Linked DNA regions of Mus musculus: all the other regions are reported to be linked to region 2. Evidence: microRNA targets listed by miRTarBase, many of them from high-throughput screens and not tested one by one. Region 2 holds a microRNA gene; each other region holds the end of a gene's coding sequence.

Evidence for each region. Region 2 holds the annotated microRNA mmu-miR-425-5p (AAUGACACGAUCACUCCCGUUGA, at 2,054-2,076, shown strand). A microRNA usually pairs through its seed, bases 2 to 8, with sites in the 3' UTR of a target mRNA and lowers its output. Matches are read on the target gene's strand: a 7mer-m8 pairs with bases 2 to 8, a 7mer-A1 pairs with bases 2 to 7 and ends in A, and an 8mer does both.
Region 1: the mRNA of Fem1c is a reported target of mmu-miR-425-5p. Seed matches in the 3' UTR shown: 7mer-A1 at 2,493-2,499.
Region 3: miRTarBase lists Echdc2 as a target of mmu-miR-425-5p. The part of its 3' UTR that is shown has no 7-base or 8-base seed match.

Annotation. Positions count from the first base shown.
Region 1 is chr18:46,502,374-46,505,373 of GRCm38, forward strand. It overlaps Fem1c (fem 1 homolog c), which reads right to left. Exons shown (of 3, transcript NM_173423.4): 3 at 2,233-3,000. The coding sequence ends at 2,707. Among named protein-coding and RNA genes, the nearest start is that of Fem1c, 22 kb to the right of the region's middle.
Region 2 is chr9:108,566,736-108,569,919 of GRCm38, forward strand. Mir425 (microRNA 425) reads left to right here and starts at 2,042; the gene lies at 2,042-2,126. It overlaps Ndufaf3 (NADH:ubiquinone oxidoreductase complex assembly factor 3), which reads right to left and starts at 701. Exons shown (of 5, transcript NM_023247.2): 1 at 116-701; 2 at 1-16. The coding sequence starts at 192. Mir191 (microRNA 191) reads left to right here and starts at 1,584; the gene lies at 1,584-1,657. It overlaps Dalrd3 (DALR anticodon binding domain containing 3), which reads left to right and starts at 3,157. Exons shown (of 12, transcript NM_026378.3): 1 at 3,157-3,184. The coding sequence starts at 3,176.
Region 3 is chr4:108,178,789-108,181,788 of GRCm38, reverse strand. Echdc2 (enoyl Coenzyme A hydratase domain containing 2) reads right to left here. Exons shown (of 10, transcript NM_026728.4): 10 at 2,481-2,882. The coding sequence ends at 2,805. It also overlaps a transcript of Zyg11a not described here. Among named protein-coding and RNA genes, the nearest start is that of Echdc2, 15 kb to the right of the region's middle.

The DNA.
Region 1 (3,000 bases), not on the chromosome of region 2:
AAGGAGACTGGTATCTGAATAAAATAACCATTTCTTTTACAGAAATGATCAAAATTGTAGAACGTCTGAAATTCAGAAGTATTTCTGGAGAAACAATGTTGAGACCTGCACATTAATTCCAGCCAATACTACCATGTATATTGTTTGATTCAAGTGAGTACAATTAGATCATTTCCTCACCATGGACAAAAAAAACAAAACAAAACACAAACTTCAGAATTTTATTTTAATCGGTCTCACACATGTCTGATGAAGGCCCTAACAGTTATCTGAGGTTGCACTCCTGAACCAATTCACTCTAAAATAAATTCAATGCTAATTTGAGCTACTAAACAGCTTTTTCAAGAGCTCCAAGGGACATTTCTGGAGAAGGCAAACAGAAGAGGGAGAGCTGCATCCTGACTGCAATACAATGCTGCAGTTTTCAAGACTAAGTAAGAACCAGTTCTGTTATCTATTCGTAGTGAAGGAAGCCACTAGCAAAGATATCCTTATTCATACAGGGCTACGAAAATTCCAGTGCATGTGTAAAACAGTGTGAAGATGTGCCCTGCTCTATGAGCGGGTAAGCCAGACTCTTCTGGGCAAAGAGGGGAGAAAGACATTAAACCCTAAAATCAAATTATCATCTTTTACCCAAAAAGTGAAATCAACCAATGATGATTCATGAAAATGGACAAGTTTTATTTTCTTTTTAAATATAAAAATAAAAATAGTGGCTCACTCATAGATAACTCTCACGACACCCATTAGAGAGAGATAATTTCAAAATATTGTTAGGATATGTCTCAATGACATATTATTCTTATATATAGCAGCTCAAATATTTTATCAGACTTGTCCATGGTAAAAAAAACACAGTAAAACCTTTTTTATCAACGATTTTAAGAGCCCATTGATAACTAATCCATTTTCCAAAGGTAAAATGTAATTTAAAATGTAGTAAAATGAGTAAGGATACATTTTAAAGAATTAAACCTCAATTGTTTGATGAAAAGTCTAATGTTCTTTATTTACTACCCATTACAAATGTTTACTGAATAAAGACGAATTTCATTATATGTAATTCTTTAAGTGGCAGTTCATCAACCCTCAGAATAAAATGTCATCCCTAAATCCAAGTGGCCCAGATCGTGAAGTTCACAGGCGAATTGACTCTCTGCTAGAATCAAGAAGCTTTTCATTCAGAACAAATTCTTTATGACATATGTAGGGCAATGTAGCAGTCATTGTAGATTCTACTGAATTACGGTAAAGTGCTGAGTGATTACCTGAATCTTTTTCATTTCCACTTATCTTCTCTTAAGTCAAAGGAGCCCTTTCTGCAGCATTAACAAATCTACAACAGGAAAAAAAACGGGGGGGGGGGGGGGGACCTGGGAGGAGGGAGGTGGAAGGGAGGGGAAGAGGAGAACAGAAGGAGGCGCTTTCATTAAGGGGACAGAAATCACTGTGCAATCTCTTGTGTTTAATAGGGTGACAAATAATTGAGATAAAGTAATTCATGCACGTTATCTTTAACAGATATACATAAACCTGAAGCAAGAAAGAAAGAACACTGTTACTGACCTCTGGTCCTATGGCAGTACACCGCATACTAAAATACCGTAATTATCTTAGATGCCTAGGGCTGGCTTGGCAAGCATCATGCCACTGACATGCTCTAGCCTCTTTGTAACTAAAAGTGGTCTGCAGTTCATGACTGAGAGCTCAATGTGAGTCGTTAGGCTGTGTGATAACGTCTGAGGTTAAACGGAAGCAGATTCGATACACCTAGTCACACCATCAGCACAAGCAGGACGACGCCGGAGACGACGCTGGAGCGGTATGAAAGGCAGTTCACTCTACAAAGGTCTTCCTTTACTGCACGCTAGCCTAAGATGACAGACCTAAATTTCAACTGGGTTAATGACTTGTAATAGATTTGTTTCCCAAATTTAGCATACAAAATTTTCTGTGGACTGAAGAAAGAAACCTCAGATGTGAAAAAATAAAGCAAAACCAAAACATAAAATTTTAAAAAGCTTGAGCTCGAACAGCTTACCGGCAACTCTAGAAAGCGACATGCTCTGAGAGTACGTTTGTGAAATGGACTCCGGAACGGAACGTAAGGAAACAGTGTTTTGAGTTGAAGTTGACCAACTGCTGCATAGAGAATATGCCAACACACAACAGTCCCAGTTTAAGCCGGTGCATAGAGAAGATAAAGCACTTATGGTAACTGCAAATGGTAAACAAGTCCATAAGGTTTATGACTTAGCATGGACCCAACGGTTCAGGGAACACTGTAGCAGAAATGGTTTGGGAGAAAAAGTGGAAACAGGCAAAACTTGAAGACAGAAGTGGGAGCCAGGGGAGGATGACTTCCAATTGTATAAAATTCACATACTAGTAAAATATAGACATCACTGAAAAACAGTTAACTCTGTCCCAAACACCCAACAGCAAACAAAATCAGAATGGCCTTTGGCAGACAATTTTAGAAATTTGAATATGACATGACATTTCTCAATAATTCACAACAATATATTATACGGTATATTTATATTAAACACTGGGAAACCAACCCTGCACATTTGATGCTTACAATGCTTTAGCCAATGGGAGCAATGATATCAAGCTAATGGATGCTGGTGTTATCACAACAGTGCTCATTACAACTGTTCCCACTCCGTGCTTTAACGGTGCTGAAGCACAATCAAATTATCATCTATGAAGTGAAACAAAGGTCTCTAGCTTTTCTGGGATGTTCCCTTTGTAATAGATTCTATGATTCACGATGACACGAGCAGCAAGACACTGCAATGTGGTATGATTTATGGGCTGTATCAAATTTTTAGCTATCTCCTTCTCGTCCAGCAAGTCACTGGCAGTCTGTTTGTGTAAGTTTGTGGCATCAAAATGTGCACCTGATTTAATAAGGAGATTCATGATGTCTGGATGGTTATTCAGAGCCGCGATATGTAGGGGACTGTTGTCATCAGAGTCTCTGACATTCAC
Region 2 (3,184 bases):
CCGACGCGGGTTCCTCCTGCGGAGGGCTAAAGTCAGGAAGTCGTGGCCCGGCCGGACTATGCGGGATTGAAAGGTCCGAGGCCAAGTGGTCAGAGGCTGGACAGGGGATGCTCACCACAGCCGGTCGACGTGCCGACAGAGCGGCGCAGGTCGCGTTCGGAAAAGGCAGCGAAATCCTAGAGCAGTAGCCATGGCTGCAACGGCGCTTAACGACCCGGTCGTAGGGACAGAGTTGTCTGTCTCAAAGTAGCCACAGCGCCCCTTGCGTCCCGGAGGGCACCGCGCACCTTGAACGGCGCAGTAGGCCAATGCAGAGCCTCTGTCTCCCCATGCGGGTGTGTCAGCACCTGTCGCCCACCCCGCCCCATGCCTCCAGCGACAGTCCCTAAGGAGGAGGGGGAAAAACACCTGCTAGTACGGGCGCCCTAAGGGTATTGTTTAGGCCACTGCCGCGGCCTGTTCCTGGGATTCTCAGCCATTATTCGGGCTCCCAGGGACCAGGGCGGGGCAGCTGCGCACCTGGTCCTGTTATGAACACCTGGCCAGGGTGTGGTGCCAGCCTCCAGGCCCTTAATCCCAGGCTTTGGAGAATCGGGCTCCGGGGGCGGGGCAGATGGCTAAAATTTCCCTAGCTAGTCTCGAAATCGCTGCTTTCCCCAACCGTCACCAGCGCGACCGTTGGCGACGGCGCAGCGCTCCATGAGAGGCGTGGCCGAGCATGGATTGGCTTCCCGGCAGCGCGAGGGGGTGTGGCCAGATGGTTTCTCCTTAAAATGGCTCCAAGTCTGGGGACAGCTAGAGCCAGCGGAAGGGCACGCCGTGGCAGTGCTGGAGTAGCTGTTCGAGTGGGACTGACTGGGCCAAACCGGACCAGACGTGAAGTAGACCGCGCCTGGAGCACCACCCCGCCCTTGCGCGCTCTGCGCGCGCGTACCGAGAGTCTCCCTCCCCCTGTCTTGAGCTGAGTCTAGGGCCTACTGGCGCATGAGTCCTTGGCGTCCCGCGGCATGGGCATCTCTGCGCACCGGTTCTGTCCTGGCCTCAGAGGAACTTTGTCGCGTTCTCTATCCGCTGGACTAGACGGGTGGGATGCTTGACACAAATGGGGCTTGGCTGTGGGGTTCTTTGCAGGGCCGGTTGCAATGGGCTTGGGGGGAGGCTGTCCTGCCGCTGCTATGTGGGCCAGTTTGGCCCCTGGCACTTCATGAGCTGGCACCGTCACCAGACAAAAGGTCCTAAGCTTTGGGGAGTCCCAGAAGTGGACACATGGGTTTACTTCCTCTCGGGTCTCACGGAATCGCTTCCCTCTTGACGGATTCCGAAGCCTGCCCGGTACAAGTGGCTCCTGCTTGGGACTCACAGGGCTAATCCAGCCCTTCTGATCTAATCCGGATCAGGACCTCGTCCCGGGGGATGCCCCCACCTTCTATTGTTCTGGGGCCCAGGTGAGCGTCTCATTCTCACTAGACTGGTTTAAAACACCTACTCCTTCCTACTCAGCCCACTGGGAAGGGATGGGCGGGTTCCGGTTTGGCCTCAGGGCGAGTGACCTGGGAGCAAGAGCCCTCCTCCAATGGCTGGACAGCGGGCAACGGAATCCCAAAAGCAGCTGTTGTCTCCAGAGCATTCCAGCTGCACTTGGATTTCGTTCCCTGCTCTCCTGCCTGAGCAGCGCCCTGGCCCAGATAATGTGGTCTCTATTCTCAGAAACACTACACTACTGGGCCATTCTGATCTCCATCTCTCAGGTGCACCCCCAGACTGATGGTGGCAGTCAGAGGCGACGAAAAAAGCTCGGGCTGATGGCCCTGTCTGGAATCCCTGGAGAACTCTGACCAGGGAGGTCCTGGGTCCTCTCTCTGAAGGGCCGCAATGGCGGTGAGTCCCACAAGGCCGCCCAGCCCGCAGCTCGCTAAAGATAGATCTTCACTTCCTGGGGAAAACCCACCCCAACCGTCTTCATGGAGGGAGAGTAGCTAAAATCACCAACTTGCTGGTGGGTCCCAGCCCTGCTAGCAGCTGAACCCACACCACAGCATGGAAAGTGCTTTGGAATGACACGATCACTCCCGTTGAGTGGGCACCCAAGAAGCCATCGGGAATGTCGTGTCCGCCCAGTGCTCTTTCGGCACCTCCCAAACAGGGCCTCATAGCCCCGGCCTTCCCGAACTTTTCCTATCTCTAGATGTCACTCCTCTCCGGAGCAAAGTTCACCGGTTGGATTCATTCATTACTGGGGGAAGTGGAGTTTCACGTTACTTGGAAACGAAAGAGTTTGGACATAGAAAAGCTCACCTGCAGCTTGCTCTACCTGAGAGCTCTGCTTATTTGGGTCTTCTCATCATCACATTTGTCTTAAACTGACCAGTTGCCTAAAGAACCAAAGGTGCCGGTAACACCAGTTTAAAGGAAAAACATTAAAGGCTGGTAATCCTGGAATCATGATGACTAATTCCTCGGGTATCAAGATGGGCAATTCTATCCGATTGGGCTTTTACTGGGAATAAAGACATTCCATACCGCAGCCGAGGAAAGGCGTACCAATAATCAGAACTCAAATTTTGCTTTGTTTCGTTACTTTTCCAAGTAGGCGGTAAAGAGTCTTTAATGGAAGACACGAGTGGTGGCACACACCTTTAATCCCAGTACTCAGGAGGCAGAGGCAGGTGGATTTCTGAGTTCAAGGACTTTCTGGTCTACAAAGAGTTCCAGGACAGCCATGGCTACACAGTGAAACCCTGTCTTGAAAAACAAAGTGTCATTAATGGTACAGCCTTATTCCTTTGACATTTCGTCTCGTGCGTCTGGCCTTTAATTTGTTTAAATGGGGCAGAAAAAGAAAAAAGAGACATAAACACAAAGATGTGAAACTTTGGTGGCAAAGTGTCTTGCCTGGTAACAAAGATCCGTTATCAAAGTAATAATTCGGGGTGACGATTTTTTTAAAAAGGAGGAAAAATGGACCCTCAAATTTGGAGGTTAGGGCTCATGAATACAGGAAAGGCCATCGGGAGGGAGAGCTGGAGGCGTGGGTAGAATGTAAGCTCACTTGGCATGCTCGATCGCTCTGGTCCATTCAGGAGAGTCCACGGCCGGATCCCCGCCCCCGCCAGGCGGACCTCCCGGAAGCTCTACGGATAACTTACTTCCTGTTCCATTTAGTCTTCCGGTCGCCATGGCGACC
Region 3 (3,000 bases), not on the chromosome of region 2:
ATGCACTTCACAAGCGACCGGAGACCTCCACAACCCCAGGGCCCTTTGTGACCTAGCGGCCTTTCAGGGGTGCTGCTTCTTAAAGACAGGGTTTCTTTTTGTCTTTGAGCAATGGGAGTTTGAAACCAGTTTTTGGGTTTACCAATTGTTAGCATTTATCAATTGACTGGTTACTTTTCTCTGTGACAAAAAGATTGGGTCCTGGGCTGGGCCGTGGAAGGCAGAGACAGGTGGATCTCTGTGATTTGAGTCCAGCCAGGGCTACACAGAAAAACCCTGTCTTGAGAAAACAAGAAATGATTGGGTCCTTTCTATTCCTTCAGAAGAGGGAAGGAAACTTTAGGGAGACCTTGGTCTTGTTCCATTTCCTCAGCTGCTCCAGGTTATGTGTGGCCGAGACTGGCCTTGAGCTCAGCAATCCTGCTGTTTCAGTGCTGGGGCTTCCAGCATGAGCTGCCACACCCTGGCGCCTTTAATGTTCTTTTCCCTCCAATTTGAGGAATCAGATCATTGAGTGTGTGAATGTGTGGGGTTGAAGCGCAGGCCTGGACTGAAGTTAGAATACATTGGAAATTCTCACTTTGGAAAAGCTCTGACCAAAGCTGAGAGAAAAAGACTGCAGAACATTTCAGTGCATGCTTTTCCTGATGTGGACACAAAGCGGGTGGTTTTATGAGAACCATCCCTGGCAGTAGTGAACACCATCCAGTCTGTCCTGCAAAACTGGAACAGAGTGTGGACGCCTTCCTTTCCCTGTTGAGAAGTAGTTTTCACTCAGTCAAGTTTTGAAGAATGGAAGTAAATAGCAAATTCCTCTGTGCGTGTGTGTGTGTGTGTGTGAGAGAGAGAGAGAGAGAGAGAGTTTTGCATGTTTGAGCCTGGTGTCCACTAAGGTCAGGACTGGAACTGGGGCCACCACATGGGTGTTGGGAACCAAACCCCAGTCCTCTGGAAGAGCAGCAGATGATCTTAACTGCTGAGCCATCTCTGCAGGCCCTGGATGTTAGAGTTTTGTGCTTTTAGCTAGTGTGGTCCGGACTTAGTATGTACACGCATGTTTGTGTGTACATCCATGCACGCGTGCAAGTAAGCACCTGCAGAGGGCAAAAGAGTATTGAATTTGGAGCAAGGGTTACAGGCAGGTGTCAGCTGGGAGCCAAGCTTGGGTCCTCTGCTCAAGAGCAGCAAGCGAGCCCTGTCACTCACTCACTCACTCACTTGAGCATCAGCTGAGGAAGAAACTCATCCTTAGCTATCCTAAGCCACATTCTAGACTACAGTCCCAGCAATGAGAAGGAGATGAAGGTAAGCCAGCCTTATGCTCATGGCTGGTCTCTCTCTCTGCTACTCCCCTAGCCATACCCTAAATGTATTCTATACTATACCTGGTACCTCAGGGGGAAGGGATGCCAGCATGGGTCCACAGAGGCACCTCCTTCCCCCAAACCTTCCTCTGATACCAAACATATCCACCAAAACATATCCTCCCCCCCTTTTCCTAAGACATTTTACTTTTTTTATTTAAGTAAAATATAATCCCATCATTTATCTCATCCCTTTTCTTTCCCCTACACCTCACCTCTTGTCTCCACCCCCACCCCCCCAAGTTTACAGGTTCCTTATTTTAACTATTTTTGTGACATATACATATAAATGAATCAACATGACCTGCACTCCGGTGTGGGATGTATCTAGAGCTCTCTCTCTTGAACCCAGATGAACCGCCATGTGAAGGAAAACACAATACAAACTTAGTTCAGAAATGACAGTAACCCAATCTCTTGGCTCAGGGCAGCAACTAAAATCCTAATCTTCTAAGCCTTATTAAATCTAAATCCTTTGGTGGTGAATCTATTATTCAGATCTGCTATTGAAGCCAGGAGACACTGGTAGCTACATCTTGCTCTCATACTATCCCTGTCCAAAAGGTCGGTCTCTTTCTCTATCTCACAACAGCATCTTTCTATACCGGGTACCCCTTCAAGTTTGTTTTTCCTAATAGTCCACTGGGGTCCTCTGCTTACTCAGCAGATCAGGAAGGTTGGCTGTGAGGATGGTGTTGATTCTAAGGCCCTGACTCTTGAAGCTTTGGCAGCACATCAGCAATATAGCTGGTGTGTGTCCCAACCCATGCTTCCATGACTCCAGACCAAGCTTGTGCTGAGGATGCTCAGCCAGAGCTCAGGTCTTGGTGGAGGGTGATCCCTAGGCAACCTTGCTAGGAGAGGAGGCAGGCACTTAGGTATGCAGAGGTCTGAGGAGCTGACTCTGTATCCCCTTTATTTTCCAAGCTGACACCTTCCAACTCACCTTTGCTGGTGCCAATTCAAATGCCGCTTGTCCTGCAGGCACCAGGTCCACTGTTGCCCACCTGATTCCCTGTCTCTTCTCTTTGTCAGTGCTCCTGGAGACTACTAAAGAAAGGTCTTCCTGCCCCCCACCCCCCAAGGCATCCCAGCCCCAACAATTCCAGCACAAGCTAACAGTTGCAGCATGTTTATTAACACAGGGATATCAGAGAGACTGATAGAGAGGTTAAATAGTTTGTCCAGAATTCCCCTTGCGTTACAGAGAGCTGGAGGGCTCCTGACACTAACTCAAAGAAACTCTGTGAGAGTAAGTAAGTCCTCATTGCTCTATCCATGGTGATCAGAGCCAATGACAAAGACCCGAAGTTTTTGAATGCAGAGAGTCCAGTCACTAGCCAAGGTGAGCAGTATGGAAGGTGGCAGTGCACTGCATGGTCAGTACCTTGGTTCTCTGGATGATCTAGACTTTATGGTGTGTGCTTAAAGTTAGCTGGGTCACTTGCCCACAAATTTGGGAGCTCGTTTCTCCCTGAAGGCTGCCATTCCTTCCAGCCTGTCCTGGGTTGGGATGTTCTGCAAAGATACAATGGATATTAGTTTGGGAGGAATAGGACCAGAGGCCAAAAAAAGGCCATTGCATAAGTAGATCTAACCTCTGACAACATCTGGGTCATTGTGAGCCTCAGACACT